Linked DNA regions of Drosophila melanogaster. The protein of the gene in region 2 interacts with the protein of the main gene of each other region in a pairwise test. Each region holds a gene or a part of one and is shown on either strand. Other genes may lie near its edges. The genes, in order: CG9316, CG14053 and CG33144.

Region 1 (11,229 bases), on a different chromosome or scaffold from region 2:
ATGTGATTTGTACATTTCTTTGAAAAGAGTTTTTATCTATAAGTACGTTGAAAGATGTACTTAACTTCATTACGAGGTTAATCGGTTCCAGAAAACGATTGTTTGATTTTAATATATATAATATTATTCTAATGCCTTTGGTCTTACTGTGCTATGGAAAAATAGGTTTACAAACCTTATTAAATGGCTTTAAGTGCGAAATCGATTTTGAATCCACCCATCCTTTCCGCCGCACTCGAAGGATCCCATTAGGTCGGTATCCCATTATCCTTCGGTTGCGGCTTCAGTTTTCGGTTTCAGGTTCAATCGGTGGCCCATCAATTGGCTTTGTCGATTATCAATTTCCAGCGCTAATTGGCGTGCATTATTTATAGTCGAGCGAGCACACGACGGCTGGCTGATGGCACGCATCTAATGACGTCACAGGGGAAAGCGCGAGCAGAGAAATCGATTGGCGAAACAAAGACGTCATCACTTTGCCGTCGGAGGACATGCGCAGCGTAGCAGAGCGAGACAGCAGACGGCGGGCATGAATGAATGAGTGGATGTTTGCGGGAGGGGAGCGGAGGGGAGGGGGCTTCTTATCGCGCTCAGGTGAAAATAGCCAGGTGAGTAGGCAGAGCGGCAGAGGAAAAACACCGGCCGGCGGCTCAGTTTTCCCCTTCTTTGTGGCCATCTCGCTTGCGCGATGACGTCCTTGCTGCGACACCAGTCGTCTCGCTCTCGTCTGACGTCACTTGTCCTTGACGGGGTGGTCTATTTCCGAGTGTGCAGCACCACCCGGCCATGACGTCACGGTTGTGCTGCCTGGCTTTCCGCTCCACTGCAGCGAAAGTGCCCGGAAATAGCCAGAGGATAACGACACGTGCTGCAACCCCCCGCTCTCCGCTTCCCGCACCCTGCTCCCTTGGTCCTTCCACTGGTTTTGCTCCGTAAAAATAGTTTTTGCAGTGACCATAAAAATGCAGCGTGACATACGTTGCATGGAAAGTTGAGTGGGAAAAGGCTGAAAATAACAATGGAATATTTTAAAAATATATCAAATAAATTAAGTAGGTCTGAGTGGTGGTTGAGGGGGGGTGGTTGGGGGGGTTCATATATACGCAATAGTAGTGCTATAAAAAAAAAACGATTATGAAATAGTTAGTCGGTGTATTTTTAGCGCTCATTTTATCACATACTATGCAGATTTTATAACAACCGGCAACTAAAACTGATTAATGAGACATCTCAAGACCCTCAACTAGAATCTAGAATCACCTGACATTGATTCGGTTCGCATGCGATGGCATTAGGGAAATAGCCCGCTCCCAATGGAGCAGCAGATATCCGCCTTGGCTCATTTGTAAATCGCGCAGTCAACAATTGATTTATGCAGATGGATGGGGTTCTAAAGGTTGCCCCGGCGAACGGATTGTGAATTGAATAACTCGAGTGTCCCCCATCAGCGGCCGGCGGCCATTCGATACCGTCACACTTTTTTGCTGTCCACCAGCGGAGCCAAGATGCTCCGAGATGTACTGCATGTGAAAATCGCCATAAATTAAATGGCCGCTGCAATATGTCAGTGATAAAGAGCACACGATGTTCTAGACAGAACCACAGGCAGCTCCAGTTGCAAGCTCCCAAGATGGAAGAAGATGCCGCGGCATTGAAAAAAAAAATCTATATATTGAATTAATTCGAGAGTTGCGGGTTCAAAAATTACAGGTCTTTTGGCCACAATAAAAACGCAAGATAATAACTATTGGAGTTTATAGTTATGTTGTATGTGTATGTACATTGAAGGCACTGTTTGAGTTTTTAATTATTTAAACATAAACATTTTAATATTCACGAAGAAACCACTTCGGTAACTGGCTCTTCAATAAAAAACGGAATAATCCCAGTGCATACTCAATTGCAAGTGCAGACTTCTCTAATTGCCCACCACAAACTAGAAGAACACTGAACGAAAACTTTCGCTGAAAGTAAACACAATTCACTAAATAATGTTTCTAAACTACTTAAACTCACTCAGTATGTTTGTTATTGAAAGAAAAATTTGTTCATAGAATCAGTTAGCAATTGTGAGTCTATCCGCATACAACGTCCCTTGTTTTTTTTTCAGTGTCCAACTCTGTGGCAGTGGCAACCAGTTGCATGTTCGGAGGCTCAGAAGTGGCATCTTTGGTCTCTCTCTCGGCGGCGGTTGTCTATTTTCTCACCTGCGGCGCTCAAAAGTGACCTCGACCTGTCTCAAGCTATATAGATAGATATATATATATATATAAATATATTTCTATATGGATACATGTGAGTATATCTGCTTGGATAGTCGCTTATTTATTGACATTCAGTGAGGCAATCGCCTGGCCGCAGTGGGCCATGTTGTACGTCTCTATATTCCAAAATGCATAGATTTGTATCAATTGATAGTGCAGAACAGAACAGAACAGGACAGAGAACTTGGTCAGCAGCTGAAAGGCAACATGCAATCGCGTTGTCTGCCAGCGGCTTTTGTCAAATTGAAGGTAGCTTCTACACTCGACCCTCTATAGCTAAGTGCACATACTCTGCCGTTGGAGATCCGGCGAATGGAGTTCCAGGGAGCCGCACAAAGTCGGGGCACCTTGACAAGCCCAGGCACGTCTTCGGCCGACAATTGGCCAGAGATGTTGGCCAAAAGATGCTCGCAGTCGGGCTGGCTTGATTGTCTCCCCTCCACTTGTGCCTCGAACCTCCAAGATTCCGAATGCGGGTAATACCCTATTCTAACGATTCTTGAAAACATGTGCTATGCTAATGAAACTAAATATTAGTACTAACTATAATTTATAATTGTATAAACTTATAAATGCAATATAATTAAATATAAAAAAATATTTAAGACTCATTTTTTTTTTAAATATATTCAGTTAGGAGGCATAGAGCATTGGCAACTCCCCCTGCTTGGCTAATGCCAATCAAATTCCATTTGATTTCACTTCCCTCGCATTTTTCGGGCAGTCAGAATGCGCGGAATTAATTAAGCGGCTTAAATAAGATGTACTAACAATTTGTTGCTAATGTGCCAATCAGCCAGCCGCCTGGGCCCAAAAAGTTCATCAGCTTTGGGTTGGGGAGTCAAAGAACAAGGAGTGTGCATTACTAAATTAACTTTTGCATCATCGACTAGCGAATCACCAGCGACCGAATCGTGCATGAAAACATCTCCGAGGAATCAAATGAATTCGGATCTGCCCCAAACACAGAAAAGAAACGAAATATTGTAATTTCAATATTAAATTAATGTTGGCAGCTCTTGATTTCTTGTTGCTGGTGCACCATGGTGTTGCAGCATGTGGCGTGCCGCAAAATAATTTGCGAGTCCAAAACAAAGTGGGTCGTTCGCCGCATGACTGTGGGTGGGTGGCTCATAAAAGTTTATTTCCAATCGAGCGGAATAGGTGTTTCACAAAAAGCATTAGAAATTAAGATTGGATTGAAAACGCAAGTTTTACAATTGTAATAGTAAGTGGAATTTACATCTTTAAGTTAGTCCAGCAAAGTGGAACCAATGTTACTCAATATATTCAAGAAATTGATTAGAAAGTTGACACGGAAATGGGATAACTTCTCAAGATATTATGTCAGGCATATTGTCAGTGTTGGTACTTAGCTTAATTGATGAAAAATCGTTATAAATTATAATCGCTGCACTTTCCCTTGTGCCTTTTACTTCCACTCACTCCGCTGAAGCGAAAACCCTAAGATTCCGCCCCTTTTCGTTCGGATTCTTCCCAGACGTTGGGCGATACCAAAAGTTCATCCATCGAGAGGTGTGCTAAGCGATAGCAAAAGCCATTTCCCATAATCGCAAGCCACCACAACAACCCCCCCCCCGAACAACAACAACAACAGCAACATTAGGAACAACAACAAAGTCACCGAGCAACAAACAACACGAATTTCTATGGCATCAGGGTAACAATTTTAAGGCTTGTCTCTCTTATGAAATACGACAGCCCAGCGAGATTTTTAAATAATTCACAGGCGTGATTGGACACGCTTCGAGTATATAGTAGTAGTATCTGCCAGATACGATACTGCAAAGGGGCAGGGTACGCCAAATTATCCCTGCTTAATGTGCCCCACTCATGCAAACCCTGCTCCTCCGGATGAGCCGAAGATGCCACCGCAACTTGTGGCCAAATGTCAGCAAGCTGCCTGCTCTGCTGGTCCAGTTAAAGTACACTAATTAGTCAGATAGCCGAGCATGGCGGACACCTGAACATGTCAAGGCATTCGCCGGGGTGCCCCTGGCCACCAGAACCCCTGCTAACCCACTGCTAACCCCCTGCTAACCCCTTCTAGCACCGTCGATCGGAGAGTCGCGGCGATTGCAGCCGCCGACAGCCATTTAAGGAGCCACTCGAGGTCAGTGTAAAACAAATAGCACACGCAAAAAACAATCAAAACGTATAGATGACTAACCAGTGGAGTAGTGGAGTGGCCACAGGTGAGTTCGCTCTACGATCTGCACTGCAAATAATTCTAGAGAAAAGGTGTCATACCAAATCACACAAAAAACCTGTGAAGAATGACTGGTTAAAAGATTTAATTGAACCCAACTGGACATATGTATTATAAGAGTCCTGCAAGATACATTAGTTCTATAATTAAACAAAATGTTTTCTATTTTTCCAAGTGTAATCAACTGGACGCGGTCACTTAGCTTCCTGCTGCTAACACAGACATCATCGGCCAACAAAGCAACAAAGTTCAGTTCCAATAGAGCAGCAATTGAATGCGAAATTTATTGCCGGCGATCGATCGCTTGGATCGAATTGAATCGCGGATTCAGAACTGTATCGAATATCGCGTATTGTTCGATTTCGGTTTCCATTCGTTTGGCTTGTTAGCCAGCCGCTTGACGTACTACAGCCAAAGGCCCAAAGTGCAGCGACACGACCCACACACGTTTGTCCGCAATTATCGGCGTTCTAATGGAGCATTGTGAGCATTGTGATGATCATAAATTTCGATCGTCCACTTCCTTATGGCAGCCATGGGGTCATGACTCATCGATCCAGTGAGGATCCCATTGTCTTAGCTATCCGCGCTCCAAGGCCATCGAATGTTCCACTCACGGAAGAAGTGCCCACCACGTCTATTCCCTAATCCAGAAATCACAGCTACGGTTCCTTATGGCAAAAATAATACTTGCACTCCTTTTAAACTGATTTTTATTAATAGAAATCAAATTTGATTGGTTTTGGGCAGTGTCTCTCTTGATATTTGATGTTCAATAAGAAATGATTCCTTGGCAACACAAAATTTGATCAAATTATTGCAACAATTCATAGACATTTATTTTCTTACCATTTTCCATTCGAGTGGTGTCGTTTTAAATAAAATTAACCTTTAGACGATTCAAGGAATTCACGTAATCCGGATGCTGCAAAATATGAAAGTGTTAGTATATGCTTTCGAAACTCCCGCCCCGGTTTTCCCACCGTCAATATAGGCCGCCTGATCATGGTTCCCTTTACATTGAGCACCACATCACGACCTGATCCCTTCGAGCAGAATCCAATGGCCTGGATCACAAACTCCTCGGTGATCTGCTCGCAATCGGTCAAATCAATAACTTTCAACTGGGGACACTTCCGCAACATCCTCATCATCCCCACGTCCATCACCCGACCGCACGCGGTCAGACCAAATCGCTCCAGCTGGCTGAGATCGTTGAAGAACTTGAAGTGATCGTCGTCCAGGATATCGTTGTTGCTGAACCGCAGATCCGTGAGGCTACTCAACTGTCCCAGGCACCTGGCGTGCTCATTGGTGATATTGAACTGACCGGATAGGTGCAGATGGGTGAGCTTGTTTCCTCGTTTCTCTGCCAGAACCGTAAGGAACCCAATATTCAGCTCGTTGGAGGTCATCCAGGTTTTCAGTGTACAGCGCTCCAGCTTGGGCAGGTTGGCGATTACCTCGAAGTTGGTGTCGCAGCCGGAGAAGATCAGTTCCACCAAGTTCGTGCAGCTCTCGGCGATTTTCTGGTACAAGCTCACATTCATAACCTCGAAACAACAGTCGTCGAGATCCAAAGTGTGCAACGACTTAAGCGGAATTCCAAACTCCATCGAGTTCCATAGCAGACAGTCTCGAAGGACCAAAGTTTTGAGATTGGGAAAACCGCAGAGATTTTGGCCTGTTGCGAAAATAAAGTCCCGCAAACGCATAAATAGAGTGCAGTGCATACCTACCTGTATAGCAACCATTAACCAGTTCAAAAAACTCCAGCTCCTGGTTGGGCTGCATATCAAAGTTGAGCACATCCTCTGCATCCAAACACTCAATAGTCACCCGTTTCAAGTGCGTCATTTTGGACATAATCGATCGGTAGTGAAACTCATCGGTGGCGTTCGAGTAACTAATCTCCTCCAGATTGGGGCAGTATTCCTTTACGAACTCCACCAGCAGGGACTCCTTTTGGTAGGACGCACAGTCCACTTGAAGGACTCTGATGAAGGGTCCCGCCACCTTGAAGAACCTGATCAATTGCGGCAGAGGCACCGTCTCCAGACTAACCATGTCCAAAGCATTTCGTTGCACTCTCGCCCAGCCCTCGAAGGCCGCTCGGAACTTGGGCGCCACACAGGCCAGCAGAACCTTATCGGTAATCCTGGGCAGAAACTCGAGAACCAGTCGGATGATGTCCTCCGGCAGATCAAGCAGACTGGTCCTGCATAATGGCGATGGCGATGGCGATGGCTCACTTTTTTGGACTCCACCCGGGCGATTGGAGCGAACTGGGAATGGAGTCTTCACTGATCTCGAATGCGTTTTCGCCTTAGGCATTTTTTGGATTATTTGCTTGTACGTAAATTTAGATTAATTCATTTTTGACACTGCCCAGATGTTATGATAGGAAATAAGGGAAAATCAAGCTCGACCTTGTGTAACCGGGTAAATATTAGAGTCCTGATACCGTAATTCAAGATCCAAATCTAAATACTCCAGAGATCTATAGGGAAAAAGACTAGGACAAAGGACCATCTTAACGAATCTTTGGATTTGGAACTGCGTACTGAACTTAAGTAGCAATATTAAGAAACTACATTTTTGCTTGCAAGATCTCCTTGGTGTCAACATATTTGTGATCTGATCCAGCATTATGAATTCCCATGGGTCCAGGCACTTCCTACGGTTGACAGTGACCGCCAGCAGTTTACGGTCGACAGGTGGGGGCAATTTCGCGCATTCCTCTATTATTCACCGCATGAGCAAGTTTTCTTTTTGTTTGACAACAATTAATTGCATAATTGTCTGAATAAATGCATAAATCAATTACCGGTGATTGAGAAGTCGCCATACGATATACGCTACACGTACTTATTTATTTATTTATTTTTACCGGATATGTTTGAAGAATTAAGTTTCGGTTTTTGTTTACAAAGCTTTTGTAATTCACAAAAGCAAACAACTTAGGCATAATGGCAATGCCCTATAATTAATGGAAAAGTAATGGAAAAGGAAAAGAAAACTGGTATTTAAAGGAGGAAATTGTTATAGATTTAATTTTAAGCAGTTAAAGTATGCTGCTCTATTTGCTCATAGCAAATACTTCTAAAACACGGAATCAAAAGCGTTTACTTAGAGAACTATTATTTAAATTATAAATAAATTAGTAAGCAATTAAATAGTGCTGTTATATGTTAAGTAACTTGTTGAAACATTAATTTCGTTATTTTTCATACAATGACAATTGCTAACATTGTGCTGCAAAAATGGTAAGTTTTTATGATTAATTATATTTGTATGTTTGTTTTTAAAGAAGTCTCTGCCCATAGTTCTATATTTAAAAAGATATCCCTTAGCGTTAAGCAATAGATTAGTAAATAGTTTATATGCAATCATTTTAAACTTTAGCGAAAACAAAGAATAGCCTTGCAGTTTATCTAATTAATTTTAAGAAATCTCTTCTAGATGTGACAATACATTAGATTTGTCGCTACAAATCTTAGATCCAATGAGTCAACTGCATGGTGCCATCATGCGTCCTCTGGGTGTCCATGACGCTCATTTGGCGCACTAATCGCTTCATCGAGGGCCGATGAACAGGTCGCCCACTTCCACTGGCCGTTGTGTCCAGGGGCGTACGCTCGTCAATGCGGGGAGCCGGCTCCCGAACCCGTCGACTGTCCCGCAGCTCCAATTCCACCTCAGAAGCATTGGTGGAGGATCCAGCCAGGACATCCAGGTTCTCGTACGACGCAGGTTGAGATAAAATCTCTCTGCAAAAAGTAAGCACAATATATATTAAATTAGTTTTATACCCGCCTTGGTCACCACATGCACATTGAACTCACGGCTTTTGAGCGCATCTACAGCAATCTTTGAACTGCCAGTTCTTGCCAAACTCCTCGCCCTCCTCGATGGTCTGCGGCAAGCGATGATGCAGTGTTTCCGGCAGCCGCAATCCCGTCATGCCGCCCAGCATCGAAAGGAAGCCCATGATGACCAAGGGCAGTTTAAGATTGTCCTTTCCCAAGTAGGTAATAAAAGGTATGCCAATGAGACCCAATCCTCCAATATAACTGGAAGCACCAATGCCGATACCCCGAACCTGAGTGGGATAAAGTTCCCCGGCAAAGGGGTATATGATCAGGAAGGAGGCGGATAGCAAGGCTTTGGATACTAGATACAGCACAAGGGTCTCATCCACGGCATCATCGGGCAACATTACAGTGATCACACAGGCCACGCCACTGAAAAATGTTGGACTTCGAATTTTACACAAAAAACACAAGATGATGGGTCAAACACCTACCCCAATATCATTGATAAGCTCAATGGCCATCTTCTGCCCCAGGTATCCATGAAGTACCAGCAGCACAAATAGCTCGGCAGCTCCACAACAGCCGACAGAAAGAAGCTGACATACTGATTGGTGCCCAGCGCTGGTCCGTAATAACTGAGTCCCAGATAAACCGTCTCATTGGCAAACCAACTCAGCGTGATTAGGATGGTCTTTAAGCGCATATTGGGGGTGCGACAGAGATCTGCTAGCCCCACATTGGCCATCTTTTTCTTTTGCTTCTTGAGCTTATCCCGTCGTATCTGAGCCTCCAGCTTGAGATGCACAGCCTCGGGAAACTCTCTGCCATTGACCTTTGCCATGCGCTCCAGAATCTTGAGAGCCTCCTCCAGGCGACCGCGCATCAAAAGCCATCTCGGTGATTCCGGCATGACGAACATGTACAGGAAATAGGCGTAAAACGGCAGGGATGTGATGTAGGAGAGGCGCACCCAATCCCGCTCCAGATAAGTGACGCCGGACAGGAGCATGATGCCCGAAGTGTAAAAGGTGCACGTCATCACAGTCACGAAGGATCGATAGTTTTCACCCACCAGTTCCAGAGCTGCAGACGCAGAAAAGTTAATGGTTAAAGTTAGAAGCAACAATGAAATACCCACATATTATAAATGGTATCTGGTAGACAGCTGGAATGGTCAGTCCTACGATGACTCGACTGCCGGCCCAAGTCCAAAAATCCTTGCTCAGCGAAGTCATTAGGCTGCCAGCCAGCAAAGTGGCCAAACAGACGAAATAGGAGAGCCTTCGTCCACCACGATCATTGAGTAATCCGAAAAGATAGACTCCCACTGGACCGCCAGTATTAAGAGCAGCCAATCCAATCGTAGGATAAATATCCTGATCGCACACTAGATCGAACTGAAATAGGAGGATTTAATGGTTTATAGTAAGCCAATCCTTCGCTCCTAGGTAAAGGTAGTACTGATGCTTGGGAAATGATTCGAGCAACTCCTACATGAATGACGTTGTAGTTTCAAATGAAGGCTTGGTGGTCTGGATTGCGCACATCAATCACAATGGAGGACCAGACGACGCTTGTGTTGTACTCCCATCCCTGGGGGCACTTGATCAGTGGCCAACTGGCATTCGGCTCCATGGTCGTCAGGTCATCCTCTTCCCCCGATTCAAGGAGCTGCGTCCAGTTGACTCCGTAGGTATAACATTTGCTGTAGACCAGTTCGTCGTTATCCTTGAAATAATTATTTCATCAGTTATTTCAAAATATATTTAAATAATAGAAGGCATAGAATATAAGGTTTACCTCTCCCCCATTTCATTGTTAGCCCCTTCGATTACTCATCGAACCACCCTCGTATCGACCCTTCACCTTAAGCAACGCACAATCAATGGGCTGACTTGATTGCCTTAGCCTCGGCACTCGTATGGCTGCAATTACTCACCAGTTCCTTGGGTATGGACAGCGATTTTCGCTGCTCCAGGGGCAAGTCGAGTAGCTCCGGGATGCGACACCAATAGTCATCCGGAGTATCAGCCATAAACAACTGGTTAAACGCACAAAAACCGCACGGTATGCAGGCGGGCAGGCAAATTCCGAAAACCAAGAGCTTCTGGTATTTGCCGAATTCGCCAATGGTGGGCAGAAGGTCGTCCAGATCGAAGGCCTCCTGGAAAGAAAACAGCAAATCTAGAGAAGATCAAGGACCGTGTCTCACAGATATGCACATCCACCGAGGGCTGGGATTCGGGCTTGTGGCGTTGTCGCAGCTCCGAAAGTTCATCGTATTCGTCCCCATCGTTGTCCTCAATATCTGACATGGATGCGCCTCTAGACAAGCTCTGAGCTGGAAATGTTTACTCACACTGCCCGATTGGCTCAGCTCACGGAAGCCATAGAAGCAACCACTGACAACTGTCAGTTGTCTAGGGTTGAAAGAATGAGCTGGTTCTGTTGATAGTAAAAAGTTTGTCGCAGTGGGCTCGATTCGTAATTTATATTTTTGTTTATTCTTTAGTCGCAAGTTAGATTTAAATAGTTTAAACTAAAGTATTTAAAATATTACACGTGAATTCAATCCTGCTCGAATTACGGCTAAGACGAGCCACTAATTACAGTTGTTAGGCTTTGATATTACAAGTAGAGAACGGGGTTTAAAGTACTTCGTTATGCAGCTCAGTACATTTAAAGGGATTTTAGTTTTTTTTTTCTTGATAATTTCTTCTTTTCTTGGAATCGTTGCTAGAGCTGGGAAATGGACAATGCTAAATTTTACGCCTAAAGATTAACAGAACGAAGAGCTATACAAAAGATGCTTCAAGTCGTTTTAACTCCAACTCGTTCGCTGTTTACTGCTTAAAAATTATTGCGCGCTTCGTTACTCCACTGTTCCTTGCCTGATACAAACATATGTTATTATACACAT
Region 2 (10,956 bases):
GGCCCAGTGACTGTTATACAAAAGTCACTGTTCTAATTGCGATCGGCGCGTGACCACCAGTCTTTCGGATCATCAGCAAAAATCAGGAATTCGACTTCGAGATGCTGAAGCGCGATCTGCAGAAAATCACACTCAAGCTGTCCGATCTCAAGGACTATGAGGTTGCCCGCCAAAAGAACAAGTTAAAGGGCGCCCCGCGACCTAGGCTTTCTCAGGACGCCCTCCCCGGAGACGACGCCTCCACTTCGGGAACAACGGCAAGTTGCAGTTCCAACACGGAAACGGCCACGGAAACCGCATCGGGATCCGGATCAGGGTCTGGATCGGGCTCGGGTTCTGGGTCCGGGTCGTACATTACGGGAATGGGCTACCGTTCGGAGACACCCTCCTCCGCATCGTACACCACGTCGACGACCCCGACTCCGGCCACTCAGGAGGAGATACTGAGACCCTCGTCCGCCGTCACGGCCACCACAACCACTGGCACCACTAATTCCGGCTCCACGGATGACGTGAGCGTGGCGGCCGTAGTGGATGACACGGATACCATTGACGAAATCAGCGATGACAACTGGGTGGACCTGAATGCGGACACCAACGATACCGTTGATACCCAGCCGGAGGAGCAGGACCAACTGCAAGAGGTGGAGGAGGAGGATGGGGCTAGGGGAGGAGTGTAATCCTGACCGCTTATCGCGTTATGAAAACATAGCGCAGCTGCACTCAAAGCCCACCCCCCCCCCCCCCATTTCACATTCCATTTATCATAACAATTTGTATACGTAAACAAGTATAATAACCCATTGCATGCTCCACTTACCTAGCTGCTAATAATAATAGTTTGCAAGGTTATATGTCGCTTATGTCATCTTCAAATCGAAACATATGCATTTTATAGATTTGGTTAACTACGGTAAATGGTTTTGCGGCCTTTTAATCGGGAGGACGTGCGATCGGATTATATCGAGTGGGGAATGCGGGTCCTCCTAATTGGCTCTCCTCAGAAGGAGCTAGGCAAGCGGCAGACGACAACAAGTGGCTTATGGCCACCGGCAACAGGTGGACGCAGTGGAGTGGGCACTAGGGACTGTTGTGGAACGAGATGCTATTCAAGCGCCCAAGGGGTACGTGCAACGTGACTTGAGCCGTACAAAGCGGAGGAGGGGGTGGCCTCCAACGGAGCTGCCTCCACGAAAGCTTCCCTCAAAAGCTGAAAAGCTCGCAGGCATCGGCGCTGCATTCAAAATACGTGGCCATACTGTTTTCGGGCGGCAGGCTGGCCAAAACGGCGGTTTGAACTCAATCCCATCCGATTCGGCTCGGCTCGGCAGTACGGAGCACGGCAAACGGACGACGGAAAGTGGATAGCGGATAGCGGATGGCGGATGGCCGGCCTTCCGCCAATTACGGGTCGCTGGAGTCCACGGCCAAGCGATTGTCAATTAATTACTCGCCTAGGTTCGATATCCAACGGCTTTGGTTACTGTGTTCCGTGGTACAAGTGCCCGTCTCAGCTTCCGCATCCGTGTACCGTGCGCATCGGTATCGGCATCCCAAGCGGCATCGGTGACCGTGACCCAAGGATCGACCGGTAGCATCACGTGCCACGTGCCGGTTCATCAAAAAGTGCAAGGGTAAGTGGCCATGTGCACGGTGATGAGGAAGTTCTGCCCTCCTTCGGACGTAGCAAATACCTCTTACTCCAAGGGGGATCTCTGTCACTTGAAGTAAAGAGGAGGTTTCAGTGCCACGTAACATCTTTGGGCAGAGGCCTACCAAACTAACACCGCAAACGGGCAGGAATTGTAGTGATGGGCTCGTAAATACGTGGGAAACGTTTAACCTTTGAACCCCGTAACCTTTTGTCTGCGTATATTACCCTTTGCCATGCATATTCGGCCACCCAGTTGCACGGTACGCCTCATCCCCCGGGGATATTGCTGAAATGAAGTGCTTTTTGGACATGCTCCTCCGTAGTCCGAGAGCTGCAAATAGCGAAACTGCATACACACAACATGGTAACATTGTAACCGAGTGGGAACGTGATGCCGGGGGGCAGGTTCCGGTGCACCGATATAACCACCTGTCACACACACATCCGTGGCACGTGCGCCGTTTCAGGTGGAGGGAGGGTGTTTGGTTTGGCGGAGAAAGCAGGCCAGAAGTGAAAGTGCAGGCAGGACAGAAAGCGAAGGTACAGTTACGAACGCCAGGAAGCTGGCTAATGGAAGTTGAAAGGATGCTGTGCGCCACTTGTGGCAACGGGACTCCGTTGATCGCCCGCCATTTAAGTGGCACATACCCGCACAACCGGATTCCCCCTTCGATGGATGTGGCAGGTGTAAATTCTGCTGTTTTCGGTCGAGAGCGCATGTCTTTTATTAATCCGTGCATAATTAGCGAGAGTTCGCCGGGAAAGGACTGATGCGGTCGCAGGATAAGCACTTATGGTATTCGAATAAGTGACACTGTGGGATTCAGGGTATCGACAGTAACCCATAAGTTTGGCTAAACCACTGACTTTACTGGCAGGACATGCAGGTAGGTACTAGCCAGGCCAGAACACTAGGATAATGAGCATGGCTATCGACTTGACCGCTGCAACCGGAGATCCTGATGGGCTGCACTGCCTCTGTGTGCCGTGTGTGCATGTACATATCTAATGGCAGCGCGCAGGAGGGGCCACCCAACAGGTGGCTGCGAAGAGTACGTGTCCGGCCCTTTGGATCGGCTTTCGTCCTGCCCCCCAACGCTGCAATTTTAATGCGGCCCAGCGCTTCTGACGAGTGCATGTTAAATAGCAGGCGCTGGCAGAGCAAACGACCCGTACGGACAGCATGAGTCCCAGGGCTTTTGGGTCGTCCTGTCCACACCCCCCACCCCCCCGCAAAGCGACCATTCCCCCCTTTCAACTACCACCACTGCCATTCGCAGGCCGCGCTCTTGGCCTTCGGCTGTGCCTTTAGCCAGTTGCTCAGTTGGCTTTGGGCTGCGGCAGGGAAAACGGCAATGCGGCATGTTTCGTTAAAAGTGGTAAAAGTGTACCTACTATGGCCGGTGCAGACAATTTGCCCTGATTGCCGAATGTCAATCTGGTTTTGTCAGCTAATTTGCATGCATACTTCAAGCCGGGCTGGCGCACACTATGCCCATGCCTTGCGCTTTTCCTGGCAGCTCATTTTCCGACTTTTCGCCCCGGTTGACGTTGACGTCCGCGCTTCCTTGGCCGTCGGCTGCAATTAAATCAATAGTTGGTACTAGGCAAGAGGCCAGACCGTAATTTGCCTACGAAGGCTATACAAATGCACGGAGATGGCTATCAGTTGGATGAGACCCACCTGCTAGTTAGGTAATTCAATTTAATTCAGATTTTCCGCCATAAAAACTCAGTATTTTGTTCAAAACAAACGAAATTATGGACCGAACACGGAATGCCATACCTCTGTGAAGTCGTAATTAAATTTCCAATCGATTAGCATTTAAATTTTCGATTTTTAATTTTTGAACATTTTTCGCAAATTTTAATGATGTTACCCCTTCTAAAAAAATCCGAAAATTGGCAAAAAAATTTTTTTTCCCAAAACCATTTAAAAAGTGATAAGGATCGTTGGCTTTGGCCATTAGCTTCACAAAACAGTAATTATAATTGATTTTTGGCCGTTTTTGGCCGAGTTATGCCAGAATTCCCTTAAAGCACTAGACATTCTTGGACAGGTTTTCTTTCCCAATTTTTCGACAAAAAAAAAACATTTTTGCCATACAAATAAAACTAATTGAATGAATTCGTATCCAAATTTTCAAACTATTGGATTTTATGTAATTGTTAAATATCTAAAAAGAGATCGTTTCGAGTCATACATAAAAGAGCTTTTTTGGTTAGTTAAGAACTAAATGCCTTTCACGACGACCCCAGCAATTGCCAGGTGTGATCAGATAGTAGCAGTGCCCAGAGAGATGACGCTAGTCGGGATCGAGTTCCGTTTCGCCTGGGGAGGAGGCGAGTGAATGCACCTATTAGGCGACAATGGGCGAAAGGTGCTTGGTTCCGATAAGGCGATTCGGGATCATTGTCCCACGGATGCGCGGATTAGGTGGTGTAGCATAACCAGCGCCATGGAATATTTTAGGCAGGGCACAAGGGAGAGCGAGAAATTTCGATTTGAACTGGAGACTCAGCTTGGCGTTTATTTGGCTATGGATCGGTGAGCTATTGACCGAGATTCGTGTTGATTCCGACGCTTATCGCTGGGCCGGATAGTTGTTGTTGTCCCGGGTACACAACAACAGAAATCCGTATTTTCGGGCAGTCCGTGTTACTCGTAATCTCTAACGCCGCCGGCAACGAGAACAACAGCAAACAGTGGTCGTCGACGGCGAAGGAATCGACTGGAACAGCAACTGGTGCCATAGGCGTAAAAATAGCGGGATGGGTTTATAAATAACCAAGCTGAAACTAACAAAGTCCGACAGCCAGGAGCGGACTTAGTTCAAGCGGGCTCGCAGGCTAGCCAATTTAGCTTCAACACTTCGCCAAATGCTCTCGGGCAGCGAAGCACGCGTCTCCCTGATCGATGTAGTCCGAGGCGGTGGCATATTCACAGAAGATGACTGCCATACGCGGTTCTTGAAGGCCTCAAAGCCGATCGTCCACAGAACATAAAGGGCGTTCACCACGGACAGTGCCACGACCGCCTTTAGCAACATGCCAAAAAACGAAAAGCGACTTGGTTGATGCTCGGAGTTCCCACGTGGTTCCGGTTCAGTTTCGCTTTCTACAAATATTGTAATTGATACTTCATCATCAGATGCGGCATGACATGGGCATGCTGTCGCATCTTCAGGTATTGATATTTTCAGATCTGTTGGTTCCACCGCCAGTGCGTTGTCTGCATACTCCTGCGAAACTTCTGGCTGCGACACATCTGTCTGACTACCGAGCGTTACAAGAAGCTTTCCGCTGTAAACACTGCAGTCCAGTTCGACGTCATTTGTCTCCAGCAAATCGAAGTAGAAACTGGGGGGCGGTGTCTCGTCCTCCAGCTGGGCCACATCCAAAGACGCTATCCAATGGAACACCTGAAGGGGATCTCTCACGGTGCGCGATGACTGATGGACAGTCTCCCTTTCCCTCTCCACTCCGCATTCGTATAGGTCGTCCGATTGGGAGATGTCCATTACTAGAAAATATATACTTTTTTTAGTTTTTTTTTTTTAGTTTTACGGATAGAAGGAAATATATTCCGGGCTTCCGTAGTGTGTGAAATATGCTTGCTTGAATGAACATGGAGCTTGAGGCGCCTGACACTTGGCAACCGGGTATATATGTACATAGGTTCCTGTTCCAGTTCCTGCTGCGGCGCCAATTCGCTCCTTGCGGCAAGTCAAGCCTGCAGCAGCGCTCCATTTCATCCGGCCTGGACTCCACTATCTTATCAACTAGAAATGGGGCGTGGCATGACCACCCTCGGACGAACTATGCGGAATTGATTCCCACCACCATTCCCGTTCCCGGTCCCCCTCCCGCAATCACCCCTCCCAGCGAGGGCGTTATCAATGGCCTGGCATAATCGGCTATCAATATTGTCGCATTACGACAACCATAAACGCGGAGCGGGAAAGGGTTTGGGAGGGCAGGAGCCGACGGGCGTGTATATAGGATCACGGGTTGGTCGACCAACTCACCTGGGATGGCCTACCTGTGACCGAAGGCCCAGTCTAGTCAGCCTGGTCAGCCTGGTCTTGGGTCTGGTGTGTATTTTTAGCATTAGAAATCACTATTTGTACAGCAAATTATGCGATCAGTGCGAAGCGCGGTCAAGTCTGACTTCCCATGCTCGCTGACTGCGTGACTCCTCACGAGGCCGAGCTGTATGTACCGTTCCACCAAGCCCGTGTAGAGCATCAGACATTCGCTGTGGCCCGCGGGGAACTCGCCGTCTCATCGCCGACCTTGATAATGCACTTCTTTTGGCTGCAGCTTGGATGGCACGCGAGCCTAATCGATTTGTAATTTGAGCTGCAGTAAGGCTGCATGGGCAAAGTTCGATTGCGATTGCAGGGGAAATACAAAAATGATGGGCTGACTGGATGAATATTGCAGAATTTGAATAGGTAAAAACAAAAAAAATGTTTTGAAAACATAAAAAGTAATAGGGTTTGCCATACTGTGCTGCAATCTTCTGCAGCGGATAAAATTCGAAATGCAGGCGATGGAAATAACTGTTTATCCGTGTGCACTGTAAAATAAATTCATTTCTAAGCAAAAAGGAAATAAGAAGTGGGGTTCGACTTGGAATAGAGTATAATAGTGCTCAGTGTGGGTCTAAACAGGCTGTATTCGCTTTTTATGGCCGTTGTGATTTCGATTTACGCACAGTTCAACTCGAGCAAATTTGTTAATTAATATTTAACACTAAGCCAGAAAGGCGTAAGCAATCGAGACCACCCCCGAGGCCCCCCGCTGCCGCCCGAAAGTGCCGTGTTATTTGCATGCAGACAACACAATTGGAAGCACGAAACATGTACGAAATATTATAAACTGATAAGGTGCCTATAATTCACAGCAGATTGGGTCCGATCACTTGGCGGCGCTCTCCCTCTCCCGCTCCCACTCCTGCCCAGAGTTCTCCATGCGCGCTCTTTGGGGCTGACCACTGATAAGGAGCGAGGGAGCAGTGCGAGAGGCCTGGAGAGGAGAGTGCTTCGCTGTTTGCTTGTCTTTGCTGCCGTTCCTTCTTCGGCTGCTCGGCGCTCGGCGTTCTGCTCTTACACGGCTCGCATTTAATTTAATTCGTCGCCTGCCCTGCTGACAGCGACATCGGTTGCGTCTCGCCAAAAAGTAATACTCGCTCCCGCGATTTGGAAGCCAGTGAAGCCATCGGGAAAGGGAAAGCAAAGCCGGGAGTCAGTGTTAGAAGCACCATTATTGCCGTTCAGTGTGACCGAGTGTGCATTCACCGCAAGGACATATCGAGTGTGGCCAGTTGCTAAGGACGCTGTACGTCAAGCACCGCAGTCAAAGTGCGACGCGATCGAAATCGCATTCATTCAGTTTTATTGAACACTCGACGCCCCGTTCAATCCGTAATCTCGACGATTGGACAACTGCAATTGTAACGCGAAGAACACAAACTGTCAACAAAGTCGTAAATTCGCACACTGCGGCAGTAAAGTGAAGCAATCGAAGGGAAAAAAGCCAAAGAGTGCAGGCAGCAACAAGTTAATTACCAAATAACAGGCGAAAGGTAAGTCGCCTGGATCAGATAAGGTGATTGTAACTATCGCTGGGCTAGCGACCAGACTCTTAAATATGTGTGATCTTGTACATCCGATCGGATCACCGATCTCCGATAATCACACCGATCCAATCCTCCAGAAGCGAAGCGCCATCGCCTGGAGTCGGAAAGCCATTCAAATGCCGAGAATGCATGCATTTCGTCGAAACTATTTTTAAACAGATCGTTTCTATACTTTCGGCTTTTTCGGATTTCTCTTTCTCACTTGGCGCGCCTGCAGACCCAGAACGTGGGAGAAAAAGAACAGAAGTGCATTCATTGCTCCCCACCTCCTTTATCGCTCGCCAGGTGGCCGTGATCGATATTGATAGCTCCCTGATATTGATGTTGACTAAATGCGAGACTTGCGTTTACGACTGTGTGGACAAGATCGTTGGGAAAGATTGATCGTGATCCCGGGTGAAGTGGGGATATCAAACAGTGAAACTAAATTCTTCGAATTTAATCTGCTCGTCAAGTTCAAGTTGATACAGCAGTGTATGGCGAGAAGTTAGTTTCCTGCAGAAGTCCACAGGATCAATTTAGAGCACGTTAATAAAATTTTATTAATAATAAAATTAATTGTCATTAATTTCCCAAGCCGTAGAATCCGGTTAGTGGGTCAGTATCTTTCCCTGGCCAGGTTCAATAGCCTGGTTAGCTGGAGGTGATTGATGAGAGGTTGTGGGCATGAGATTCCGAATGGGAAGTGAGCACAAAGTAAGCCCAAGGCCGCAATAATTACAAATCCGTGACCGCAAACGCTGAAATTCATTTAGTGCCGAGCAAAGTGAATTAATTTCATAATAAACAAAGTGCGAATGACAGCTCTTCCAGCTGAGATGCAGTTGAAAAGTCGGCAAGGATAGCCGAGGCATAAATCTAAACGGACAAAGGCAGCTGACACTATTCCTGCCCACAGTACTCATAGTTAAGGAGTTGTGAACTGGAAATGGATCGCATACTACCCACGAATGGGGTGAATCACTCAATTCGACTGCATGCCCAAGCTTTTATTTGGCAATCTACACATGCATTCGTTTGTTTTGATACTGTTGGTTCAACGACTTTGCTGATCAGTCAACAGAAATAGTAGCAAAATAGAAGCCTTGGGGCTACACACGAAGAAAATGTTGCTAACTTTGGCAGCTTATTGCTCCGAATATAATTCATTTTTCTAATGTTGCCTTCGAAACAGAGCCAGAACAGGAGTGCAATCTAATCCCGACACTTTGATGATCATTAATTTGGCGAATGATCTAAATAATTCTCAGTGCCTCACGTAACCGAACTGTTCGTGTTGCCTTTGCTTTTGTCTCCTCTTTTGCTTTTGCTTTTGTCTTTGCTTCTGCTGATATTGCATTTTGCCTACTGCGCACATTTTGTCACATTTTCGGGGCTATCTCTCGGCTCTTACACTCATATGGAGATAGGTCAAGGGCAAAGTCCCGCGAGTGCCCCCCACCCGATCGATGAGTGACTGGGTGCATCCAGTCCGAGTGCTATCGCTCTTGGGGGAGGGGCAGTGGTGGTGCTCTGGTTGCCGGGCGAAAGTGCATGGTAAACAAGTGGAGGGGTTCGGGGCCACATGAAGTAGAATTGAGCAGTAATTACCGATTACGATCCAGTTGGCAACTGGTTCATCAAATCATTAGTGCATATGTCCACTAAGTACGCTTACAAGCATTTTTAAATTCAGATTCCTCCGTTCGTTGCCCTAAACGGTATTGCAATGAATTTGTTGTCCTGAGAAGCTATATGCTTTCATAATCACAGTCTTTAACAAAGCTAATATTGAAATTAATGTTGACTCATAAAATATATTATTAATCATAAAGTTAATATGTGTCATGACACTAAGTGTTTCAATAGGCGAATAGAGCTATTATTATATATGGTTCCATATTCATTCGATTTAAAGTAGATCAGCTGAAACCAAAGTCCAATTATGTGCGAATAGATGAGTTTCGGTCAAGGGGCGGATATTCAGTAATAAATATATGCCGTATTAACTAAATTCCTTTGGTCCGCGCCGCCAACGTTGCGTATGCGCAATCTCTTTGTCGGCGATATAAGACGAACGCCTGAATGTCATGGTCAGATTTTGGACCAGCCGAGTCCATTGATAATGCCGTATTGCTTGAGGCTCTTGAGGTAAAAGTGTATGGTTCTCATTTACGCTGATTTGATTTGTATTGTTTTAATTGTCTCTGATTGCACAAAAGAGCGACGCCGACGGATGACTCACTCCGCCCAAGTTGGAGAGGCTGGGGATGCGTTTCCTGTTGACTTAGTGCGACTAGAAACCACATACAATGGCGTTCTGCAGTATAACGCCCCTGCCGACGACCGTCGCCCGATTGTTCGTTCCTAATCAATTTTAGGTTAAGTTTTTAGCCTTTGTTCATGCCTGGCTTTCAGTGTAATGTGTGTGCATATCAAGTACTGGCTGATATGGCTTTGGAAAAAGTGAAATGGCATTTGTTTTTGTTCGGTCGTGGGGGGAATACCCACCCCGCCGCTCTGTTCGGTTCGCATCTGCTTTATCACGTCACAATTATCTTGCGGCATTGTTGCAACTTTTGCGCTTTGTTTCCACCACACAAAAACGCAGCAAAACCAACAATGATTGAGCAGGCAGAATTTGTGAAGGCCTATGTATGTATATTCATGCTCTCTCTGCTATCTTCAAAGCTAAAGAGATGGGAAAACAAAACATCAAAATAGACGCTTGCTATCTATATAGCGAAAGAAAAGACCTCTACTGTAAATCGAAAAATAGACAGAAATTCACCTTAAGCCTTAGTTAGCTGACGAAGCGAGTGGCGCACGTTCGTGACTTTCTCGCCGCATAAACGAACGACTTTCCGCGCTGATCGCTGGGGGTCCAAATGGCAAACGGCTCAGCTCCGATCATCCACCACAGTCTGGTGTTTTTCTGAGCCGAGCCTGATAAGCCGCGTTGAGATCTATATATAATGTAGCGATGTGCCACCTCTCCTGGCTTGCCGATTCGAGGGGCAATGGACAATGGAATCGTAAGCGGAATCTGCCAAATAACCGTGATTATGGGGACCGTGCTAATGAGCAGCGGGCGGACTGGAAGGCCGAGGTCAATGGGTGACTTGGGGGCTGATAACTGCTTTGATTTGGTTTGCTTCGCTTTGGCCCGCCACCTATATTAGCATATATTCTGGGGCTTTATGTACATGGGATTTTAAATTTAACCTGTTCGCTGCTGAGCATATAAATGAGAATTAAATAGATTAACTAAAAAGTTGTAAGTTCTAGTTGTTAACTAGAAGTTGTTGTTTTGAAAACCCCAGTTAGAAGAATTCGCAGAATTCCCGTCCCCCTCTGTCTGTCAGATTGTACATTCCCCACCAAATTGTAAGGTCTATCTGTTTTGAATGTTTTTAGCAGGTTCAATGAATTTGGCCGAGCTCGGCTGATAACCAGGGCAGACACACCAGCGACAACATCCTCTTCATCACGTGTTTTCAATATGCTGGAACTTGGCAATGACTGCCCTCTAATTGCTTTCATTTGTTTACCGTTTCAGTTGCTGCAACATGAGCCGCTGGCTTTAAGGAGCACATCCCATCAGCAACAGCAGGAGAAGCAGCAGCAGTTGCCACATACAGGCAGCAAGTGCAACCGGAGAGGAGACCCAATCGCAGGT
Region 3 (10,980 bases), on a different chromosome or scaffold from region 2:
TTTATCCGCATCAGATTTACTCGGACTTCCCAGAAACCATATGGATTATATCACACAAGTTTTCATCGATAGAGAGTCCAGGAGCTTTCGAGCGTAAGGCTATGTCTATAAAAAAATCTTTCAGTAAATCCCTTAACTCTAAGAGTTTTCTTCAGTTGCATCTGGTTCCATAATATGCTATATCATCATATTCGGCATTTATCTTTTTGTAAAAGAACTACGAAATGACTTTGGAAAGTGCGTAATGAGTTGCGTATTCTGCCTATTTCTTGACTATCTAATCTGGCTTATGGATGAACTACGATTGTTGGATGACTTTTGCTCACTGACAGGTTAGTGGTTTAATATACATATTTTTTTTAATAAGATAAGGCATTGAAAATGAAGGAAAAACTGACTTTATTTTCCGCAGGTTATATCATGTTCTTCTTTGATTTTGCCAATTCTGTTTGGTTCTCCATAATCAGCTATTGCATATGGAAGAAAATCACATCTGTCGTTAGCCAAGAAAATCGCGATCAGTTCGTCTTTTACAGTACTTTTGCCTACGGGATATCTGCTATACCACTCGGAATCATCATTTCGATTAATCAATTTTGGGAAGAGGATCTCAGGAAATGGAACTGGTTGCCCTTAGTTGGTTTTAGTAGATGCTCGGTGGATGGTACGTTTCGATTGGGGAAGACATTTAATGTATTAATTTAATTCATATATTTACTCCAATTCTCAGATTGTAAGCGGTCTTCCTGGGTTTATTATTTTGTGCCCTATGCGATCATGTGTGCCATTAATATAATTATGTTCGTTCTGACTATCAAACACATTATGAAAACAAAAAGAAATCTCCACAATTTAACAAAACGACCAGATAGGAACGAGACTTGTGTTACTGTAAATTTTTTAAATTTTGAGTTGTAAGTTTCTTAACGCTTGGAGCTTTTTATTCTTTGATTTAAAATTCCATTGCCCTCCTTAGGTACCTATTGTTTCTGCGGATTTCCGGTATTATGGGCGTAGCTTGGATACTGATCATTTTTTTGTTGATAGAAGTGAATTCCACTTTTTGGGACATTTTCGGTATAATAATCCAACAAATACATTATGGTTTTGGTATCATTTTATTTGTCCTGCTTATTTTTAAGCGCAGCACCCATCAACTGCTCATTGCCAAGTAAGTTATCCTATAACTCTTATTCCGTTAATAACATATATTACATATATTAAGTATATTACAATCAGAATTCGTGGTAAGAACCTACACCAGCAGACCGATGTTTGATCTTCGATCAATAAGGAAATGCTCCAAAGTCCACAAAAAATTTTTAAATATTTAAACCTATTGGTTTTTTTGTTTATTTTTGTAATTATATCTAAATAAATTAACAATTCGCCTCAAAATCTTTAAATAGATATCGGGGCTGTAAACCCATATAATTCTAAAACGTGGTTCCGGTTAGAACCAGGACTTGGGAAAATTTCTTTTTTATAACTTAAAAATATCGGGAAGGCGAAAATAGGATTACATTTACATTTAGATTCTAAGATTAGATTTCTTCAGCATACCCTATAATACATAATAATAATACGCTCACGTTTTCACAAAATATCTGATAACTGGATAAAAATTTTAAAATTATTTGGTTAAAATTGGTCAGATGGACAGGAATTGTAAGCGAACAATCATTGATAACGTCGTAAGGTTATTACAAATGCAGCACTACTAAAAATTGATCTTTAGGGTACCAAGAATTTCGTGTTAGTTGCAATTAAATGAATAATAAAGTTTGCAAGAAAGCTTGTTGTTTTTCTTACTTACACAACACTAGCTTTCTAATAAATAGGAAGTGAATAATACTTTAAGCAGTCTATCACTAAATGGATAACAAAGGATTTATATCAAAGCTCTCACATTTAATGTCTCTAGTGAACAGGTGCACATTTTTCTCGCCGGTTACATGTGCTCCCACAACGAAAAGCAAGTGAAAGCCATTCACTTTTATCATTTACCAAAAAGTACCCCAAAAATATCGAGAACTACGGCACATTGTCATTTATTTCGACTAATGATAAATGCGATTTCTTTCTTCGCTTTCGTTTGCATTGAACTGGAAATGTATTTTGACAGGCGAGCGAATATACATATATAAATTGCCGGCAAAATATATGTGTAGAAGGCCAAAATCGACTTACCTGGCCATGTTACGTCCTTGAAAGCTTTCTACTGTTTGTCCTTCGTTGCGGTCGCAATTTCAACTGAAATCAACATGCAGGATGACGATGGTGCTCCTCTTTCTGCCCCTGCTCCTTTTTATCCTGCTCCCTATTCGGCTGCCGACTTTGTCCCAATATCCAGATGAAAGGCAGCCACTTAGATCGTTTGTCTCTGTCTTTTGGACCTGTTCCTTTCTCTTTCTCAGCCTCAGATGGTTGATTGAGTTTGAGATTTATGCCTTAAGTGCTGCTGGGGGATTTGTTATCTTGTCCTTTTTGGCCCGGCCTATACGCATATCGTTTGTTTGCCTTACTTTCTTTTCGGTGGCTCTGATTCCGCTGAAAATGGTAGAATAAAAACAGTTTTATAGTTGATGATGATGCTGATGCTGATGCAGATGATGATGATGATGCTCTGCGGTTTCCTTTTTGCTTTCAATTTACATAAGCAGCAGCATCATTAATATTGCAAATGTGTGTGTGGATGCACGGACAAAAATAATAACGTAATACTAAAAGCTTTTTACGAAGTTTCAATTAAAATGGTAGATATTGTAATAATGATTATACACACACAAATACATTTACAATTAAACTATACAAACATCTTTTTAATCTCATATTTTAAAAGGAAATGACGAAATTTCCTACATATTTGATCCTGTCTTTAAATTAAAGTAAAATTATATAAAGTTAAATATGCATTAGTCGTTGTTGAGCTCTTGTAAGTGCGCCATATGTTTATGATTACTTATTTTAATTATTAAACAGTATTTTCCATTTTAATAAATTAATCTTATTTTTACTGTGTCTATGCGTGCCTGTTTTTGTTTCCTTTTGAGTTTGCTTTGAGCACTTCTGTAATTTCATTTCCATCCCTAACAAATTTAGCTCGTTGCAGACATTTATCATACGCTCTGTGTGCCATGCGTTCTTCCCACCATAAATCACTTACTTCTGCCTCTGCCGGTCTCCCTCTTCCCGTTGGAACTCCAATTTTCCAAATAAAAATGACCAAATGCAATTATAATACGCCATCCAAACAACTTTTAATGCCAACTGACAGCTGCCCAAAGTCTGCTCATCGAAATCATTGTGTGTTGTTTTATGTTTCGCGCAAAATGTTATGGATTGTGAGTTGATTGATTGTTTAGGCCGGATTGTCCAGCTTAAAGAAGCTGGGTTCGGAAAAATATAAGTATATATACATATATAATATTTGGAATTTGAAGCAAGAAGTTTGCCCACCAATTGGTTTTTTTGCCCATGTCCAGTTTTGAAAATATCAAATTTCGAAAACTGTCCGAGATGAACATGTTTTATAACATGTGTTACATTGCAGCATTGCTTGTGGCAGGTGTCCGAAATCTTGGTTTGGGTTTGAGGTCTAAGTCCTGGGATGAGTTTTGGTGTTTCAAAAGCACAACTTAAATCAATGTTCCAGCACTTCGCAACAAGAACGGGCCCCATATAAACAGCAGATGTACTATGGAAGACCCAAAAAACACGCCCATTAACAGAACTCTTTTATGGCCGCTCCGCCCTCTGTTTGTGTCCCTGGAGAAAAGGGCTCGATTAGGGGACGATGTGAGGGGGCGTGTACTATCAGCTGTTTCCCATTATGACTACAGCGGAAATACACAAGCAAGTGGAAAACAGTCGAGGAAAAGCGGAAGCAAAAAAAAGGCCGCCACTGGCAATGCAAACACAGTAACACACTAAGGCACAAGCAAAACTCGCTTACACACGCAAGGCGATAAAAATAAAGCGAAGCCCACGGAACGAGAGGCAAAAATTGGAACTAAATGCGTATACGTAATGTGATAGAACCCACCTAAAAAAAAGGGAACTACGGAGTGATAATAAAACAATGGCACCGTTGACGACACTTCTCAACAAACATTAAGTAAGGGGAAAGAAACTTTAAATAGCTTTTTTTTTCGAAAAATATCCTTTAAACTCAAGTTCAGATAGATGTAAAATAGCCCTATTTTCTATATGAAGAAATGACCACCTATACTGTATCTAAATATTTTGTAGTTACTATTTTTCTTCGTTTTTGTAGTTCACTCGATAAGGTTAAGCAAAAAATGCCAGCAAAAAAGCAGAATCGAAAGGAAAAACAACTTTTCGTGGAAATACCGTGGTGAAAATCGAAAACCGAGAAAAGCGAAAAACAAAAAAAAATGTTATAACCACACAAAACTCACACATCCAGACACATAAAGCTACTTAAGCCCGGACACATCGCACACATTCAAGCGAGGGGAACCCCCCCCCCCCCCTGACAGCTGCCATGGCAAACGTGCGAAAGGGACGAAAGAGGCGATAGGAGCGACAGGGACGGGCAGAAACAAACAGTGGGACACGGAGCTTGTCACTTTATTTGGCTCGATTTCAATGCACTGCCAACTTGGGCATATTAGTATGCAAAACTGATAATCAATAGGCGACGACTCAATGCCCAACGCTCAGTGGAGATTATGGCGCAATTTGCATACGGGCATGTGCCATTTGAAGATGTCACCACCCGTATCCCTTATACCGGGAAATCCTCTGAATTCGTCCTCTCAACTCCGACCAGCGAAGGACTCGCTGTCGTTTAATTGAGCCAGACCATCGCCAGCGTACAATTTGGTGTTCTATGTGTGGAGCGCGAATTTTTTTCGCCCTTAATTGAAATACGGGATAATGACTCCAAAAAGCTTTCAGTCTAACTTGCCCTGCAACGATGGATTGCATAGATCAAACATTTGAAAGTGCAAGAAACTGGCTGGAAAACTGTACAGCAAATCGCAATTTGGTGGCCAATGTCATTTGTCAAACTATAAAATTGGGTTTTCTTAACTAATAAGCTTAAACAACTTGTAAAATAAGTTGTCACACTGATCGATTCTTTAGCTCAAAGAAAAAATAAATTTCTTTTGAATAAATATGTATTTTATAATATTAATGCCAATTAAAAAAGTACTCGCATTCAAGGTAGGTTTTCTCCAAAACATTTATTAATCTACACGAGCATTTTTATACCTATTGCTTTCCTAATATTGAAATGAAATGCTGGCAGGAAATACCATAAATATGAAATGCTATACCTTTTCATCGGTTCCTTACGACCTCTTCGCTGAAATTTTTCAATAACTCTCTGGGGATTTTATGGTCGCAATTTGCAATTTATCATCAATTTGATGTGCAAAGGGCCGAACATAAAAGTGGCTCAAATGGTAAATGTAACAAAGGGCAATAACGACGTATGTATATGGCTGCAGCAGGCGACTGACTAACCCCCAACTAGATCCATAAGCGTAAAGCTTGATTTTCTATTGATTTCTGGTCAGAAGCTCACTGCTATCACCTGAAATTCTGAGTGAAATGCACCTGCTGCTCCTACACGAAGAGAAACGTCACACTCTTTGATAGGTTAATGCCAGTACCGAATTAAGTTGCCCATACATTAAAACCTAAAATCTCTTTTTTATTGCAGTACAACAGAAATTTTGAACATTACAATTCATAGTGGTTTATTTTATGCGAATTTATTGTTGTTGCCCATTTAAAAGATTATGAAAATATTTTATTTTATATATTTATCATGTAATGTATTCATGTACTACAATTTTCTCCAAGTATTCCTGAGTTAACTCTTCAGCAGAATAGCAAAAACTATAGCATACTTATGGGCCGCTTTGAGAGTTGCCATAAGACGCTTAATAACTGTGAGTAGTGCCCAGCAGGGGCGTGTATGAGGAGGGCACATGGCAAGGACATGGGCGTCGAATTGAGGGTACTCCGTCCGATGTACGTGCCAATGGCCGTAGTCGCAGTAATAAACACACGCACAGCCCAGTTAACACAGAAATATGCCCCAAGTGTCAGGGCGGGCAAAACATGCGATGATGAGTGGGGAAAGTAGAGAGGAAATGCGGGGGGGGGGAGCCCAAGGAAATGGGAAATGGATTTTCAGTGGCCTTTGTAATTGTTGTTTTTTGTATTATTCTTGTTTTTCTTTTGTTTTTTTTATAATTACTGCGATAGAGCTGGTTTTTGTGTGTAAGTGTGTTGCTGTGGTAAGCACACATAACGGTAATTTAATTAACATACATAAACACTCACACCGGCACACATAAGGAGAATGTGGCACACAAAGAAAGGTGAAAGGTTGGCGGAGGGGGTTTTACTTCTTTGGGCACTTACGAATCGGTTTCACAAACTTTTCGACCCTTTGTAATCGATTTCGAAATGGGGGTCTAACACGGTTTTAATTAAGATATTTATACTTTCGAAAAGCACTTGACAATTTTTGATTATTTTCAATATACTATTTTAATTCTTGATTTGATCAACAAGCGCACACTAATTTCGGCTATACTTTTTATATATTTATAATTTTGTAAATTTTTTTTTATGATTTAACTATATATCTTTGGAGGTGTGTGTTTACAGGTTCCTTTTTGATTTTATTGTGTTGGCATTTTGCTGCTTTGCCGCCGGATGTTGCACGTTGCGCCAGCACTTCCGCTTTGCGACCGAACCAACCGTCGAGAAACGCGTTCCGCAAGCGAATAAACAAACGGACTTCCACCGCACACATTTGTCGCACTTCCATGGCCAGTGTTGCCGTGCTGCACGTCCTGCGCACTGCGCACGACGCGAGAAGAGAGAGTTTCCCTCTCCCGCTGCTCTCTTCGAAATGCAACCTGCTGACGGAACATCTGTGTTTTTGTTATTATGCTTTTGTCAGGGCAACAGCAACAACTGTAGCATTCAATTGCAATTGTGGCAACCGAACATCCATGTATTTCAATTACACTCACTCGTATGTCGGGGTCACCGAAAATAACTGCCGACTAATTGATGGCGCACAAACGATTTAGGAGCACATTTTGATTGATTATTGCGAACTTTACATATGCATAAGTATGAACGTATACGTCCAGTAATTAATCTGAGTTGTCATAGGAACAAGATATAGATATCAAATATTTAACGAATTGCTATTGTCTAAGATGGTCGTATTCATCAGAAATATATCTGAAATATACATATATCAATATGTGTAATAATATAGACAGGTAATTTCTTCTAGCCAACTATATTGGTATTGAAGTTTAGAAGTGGGTTATTGCAATGATTTTTATTTTTAATATTGGCTTTATGCCTGTGAAAATAATCAAAAATTGGTAATAATGTCAATTTAAAGGAACCCGGTTTTTTCGAAGCACAAATATGTGGCTTGGACAGCTCAAGTACAGCGCCTTTTTTGCAGGACGATTTCCACACAATTGCAGGATTTTGTGCCTCGTCGACGACGCTGCTTAATGTCAAGGTTTTTTGGCTGCTGTTGCAAGTGCAGCAGCAGCAGGAAAAACAGGAAAACCAGAAACGGCCGAATGAGAACGGCACGTGGCCAGCCCCCGCAACGAAAAGGGGCCAGAAAGGGGGTCGATTATGCCATTACCAGGGCAAAGCTGCACCTTCCGCCCCCGGAACCCCCAACCCCCTGCCAGTGCGCCGCGCATGAATGCCGCGACAGACCCGATTCGAAAGCCAATGTCAAGTGCACGCGGCACAAGGATATGGAGGCAGGAGTATATTACAGGCCGCCATCTGCCCCACTGTCAGTTCCCCTTCCTCAGTGCCCACAGCAGCTACAGTGGAGCTTCTATAAATTGACATTGGGCTTTCATCAATATTGAACTCTTCGATATGGACTGGCTTATGAAGACTCGTTTATAATAACACATAAATCCTATTTTCATATACGGCTTAAGTTTGACATACACAGGCTCGACTGTACCTCATCATCGAGCATTAGGACGGTCGTTGTTGTGACCTCCAAATTGGTTGGCACACTCACCTAAATGGGAGTTTATCTATATTTTATGTGCACGACTTATACCTCAGGCCCATTTCACTTGATCACCAATTAGTGACTATATGCTCAATATTTGCCAATATCAAACATCAGGTGCTTCGTCAATTAACTTGTTAATTAGATAGGAAATAGATTCTGTGGTTATAATTGTTTTTGTACCGTATTATAATTGTTACTACTTATTGTAGACGAATTTACATTAATCGATATCCATCCAAATTAGTCTGCGAATTCATTAGTTCAACAAACTACTCAAGGATGATGAACTTTTACTAAAACTAATTCCGTTCATCGGCTTTAAATAAAATAAATCAACTGTTTCATAATAGTAATTAATAAGTCATATTAGTCATATAAATAATAAGGGTCCACACACAAAATTGAATACAAGATAAAACGCTCTTCTCATTTGATATTTATTCAAATTATTATTTAATGTAAGTTTTGAACTTATTTATGTTAAATAACCTAGTGAGAATGAAATACAATGTTTTGTTTGTTTCTTCTTTACTGACTGCAGTGGATTGACTGCTTGGCATAACTTGTTTATTACTTCTTAAAAATTCTTCAATAATCTCTTTATAACTTAGGCGTATAAACTCATAATTCCGGCTAGTTTCGAGAACGGATTACCAAGGACAAAAGTAAATTACATATCTTCTACTAAAACTAGAATCTAAGGAAGAGAACAGACCAATCCGTCTACGACCAGGTCTTGGGAACACTGAACGGCCCGAATCGTTCGTGACTATCAACGCCCCGCACAGCGAAGTAATACCTCTGGTTCTCCTGGAACTGATTTAAAGTCACTGCCATTGGCAGCAACATAGCGCTGACATCGCCCACATGCCGCCAGCTATCCGTGCTGGGCTCGTTAATCGTCTCCTGGTATGCATAGATCTGGTACATTACGCACTCTGCGAACCGCGGGCTCGAATCCTCCAGAGTCCAGGATATAACGATACCAGTATCAAGGAGACTAATCCGGATAACGGGTCGCGAAGGAGGCACCTTCCAGGATGGATTGAAGGGCTGGGGAGGAGACGTGGGCAGTGGTGCAGGATGTGAGTATCTTAGACGAGACGCTGGAGGCGGGGTGTTTTCCGAACGTATCTGCATAGTTACGTTTGAGCCCAAGGGACTTTGCTGACCTTTGAATACGTTTGAAAATAAGTACGCCGAATATTTTGAATATAATGATTTTCCAACTCACCTCCTCCATTATTATGGACTATCTGTCGAGCATTTACGCGAGGCAATTGCATTGGAGAAGCTCGCACCACATTTCCGCCTCCTCGTCCTCCTCTCGTCGCTGCTGCAGTCTGAGCATTCCGCTTAAGCATCTCCATACGCAAACGAGCGTTTTGTGCTTGGGCAGCCCTAGCCGCCGCCGCAGCCGCTGCATCATCCTCATCTGTGAGGTCAATGACTGCCTTCTCCTTGGGCTTGGCCGGCGCCAAGCTGGACTCCTGCTGCTGTCCATAGCTGCCCAATTCCGATCCACTGCTGCTAGATGAGATGGGCACCGAGACCGTGGCCCCCGAAAGCGGTGGCTGCTTGGCGCGCACTTTAGTTGTGCACTTCGGCACTTGCTTGGCGGGACTCGAACCTGGCGTGGGACCGGGACTAGGTCGAGGTCTGCAATATGAAACAATTGTAAGTTAGTAATGTGAATATGACATGTTTCTTTTGACGAAGAATTTGAGATCTCGGCGATTATACGGACGGACAAATGGACGGACGGACATAAACATATTGATTCGACAAGTATATTTTTATATTGGTAACGCTTTTATTTACCCATTTGGGTTTATTACCCCAACTATAAAGATTTTCAATAGCAATAAAATATACTTGAATGTTAAGAAAACAAAATTTTTTCTGGCATATCAATACAAATTGGGAAATAGAATAATAAAATTTAAAAAAAAATCTATGTATGCTTTTATAGCCACTGAGTTCGAGGCGTTCATATGGACACACGGACGGACATGGCCTGATTGATCCAGATAAAAAAAATATATACGGAAACTCTGCCTTCTACCAGTTATATACTCTGTAACGAATCTAGTATACCGTATTACTCTACAAGTAAAAATATGAATCTATTTAGCTAATTGGGTCTGAAACGATTCCCAATAAATTGCTAATTGTAAACTTCTGCACAAGCGTGGAATTCGCTTTTAATCGAAGATCACGATTAGGATTATACTCACAGTAGGAACTGTTGCTGCGCCTGTTGTTGCTTTTGTTGTTGTTGCAGGTGTTGTTGCTGTTGTTGCTGCTGTTGCTGGTGCTGTTTCTGCTGTTGTTTTTGCGCCAAGAAAGCGGCTTCTGAGTTCCGGGCACGCATGACGGTTTTATTAATCGCATTGGCCACCGATGAAGGCGTGGAGCCAGGCGTTCCGGTGTGCTTGGAGGCGTGCATTGTCCTTTGAGCTATAGGCGGTGAGGACTGCAGACGTTGAACGCTGGACTGATTCATAAGCATTGGCGCGGGCTGTAAGTTAGTAGGTACCGGCCGATGGGGCGTGACCTTCTGCAAGCAGCCCCGGCGCACAGGTGGCGTGACACTAGCCGTTGTTAAGGATTGAGATGACCGTGCTGCTGGCTGCTGTTGCTGGTGATTGGAATTCGGAGTGACACTGACGCCCGCACCCGTTTCCGATGAGGATGTGGATGGTCCAAAGGTAGGCGGAGGAGGTCTTGGTCGCACGGTCGCACGCGTCGGGGAGGTGCTGGCCTTGGGTGGTGTTCCGCTGGGCGGCGCCAACACGCTGCCAGCAGCATGAGTTGACTCTGGTGCGGCGACGGTGGGCTTTATAGCCTTGAACGGAATGCCCACCTGAAGACCAACAGCTCGTGTTATACGCACAGGAGCGGTGAAATGAGAG

What was found.
Region 1: the proteins of CG14053 (region 2) and CG9316 interact in a two-hybrid assay, tested with the Drosophila melanogaster proteins (one large-scale study listed by BioGRID).
Region 3: the proteins of CG14053 (region 2) and CG33144 interact in a two-hybrid assay, tested with the Drosophila melanogaster proteins (one large-scale study listed by BioGRID).

The regions. Positions count from the first base shown.
Region 1 is NT_033779.5:20,719,629-20,730,857, forward strand, and holds CG9316 (uncharacterized protein), read right to left. Parts: upstream 6,924-11,229; 5' UTR 6,829-6,923; coding exon 6,234-6,828; intron 6,179-6,233; coding exon 5,478-6,178; intron 5,420-5,477; coding exon 5,369-5,419; 3' UTR 5,344-5,368; intron 5,284-5,343; 3' UTR 4,581-5,283; downstream 1-4,580. Other genes in the region: CarT (carcinine transporter), read right to left, coding at 7,991-8,264, 8,340-8,738, 8,801-9,392, 9,448-9,706, 9,855-10,037, 10,249-10,473, 10,532-10,624.
Region 2 is NC_004354.4:2,187,796-2,198,751, forward strand, and holds CG14053 (uncharacterized protein), read right to left. Parts: upstream 6,115-10,956; 5' UTR 5,683-6,114; intron 5,265-5,682; exon of another isoform or gene 5,178-5,264; 5' UTR 5,176-5,177; coding exon 4,483-5,175; 3' UTR 3,844-4,482; downstream 1-3,843. Other genes in the region: CG3457 (uncharacterized protein), read left to right, coding at 102-680.
Region 3 is NT_033778.4:10,791,935-10,802,914, forward strand, and holds the start of CG33144 (uncharacterized protein), read right to left. Parts: upstream 6,776-10,980; 5' UTR 6,406-6,775; intron 2,551-6,405; 5' UTR 2,191-2,550; intron 1,176-2,190; coding exon of another isoform or gene 977-1,175; intron 915-976; coding exon of another isoform or gene 731-914; intron 665-730; coding exon of another isoform or gene 413-664; intron 333-412; coding exon of another isoform or gene 156-332; intron 94-155; coding exon of another isoform or gene 1-93. Other genes in the region: mthl13 (methuselah-like 13), read left to right, coding at 1-93, 156-332, 413-664, 731-914, 977-1,175; wde (windei), read right to left, coding at 8,789-9,237, 9,300-9,724, 10,303-10,980.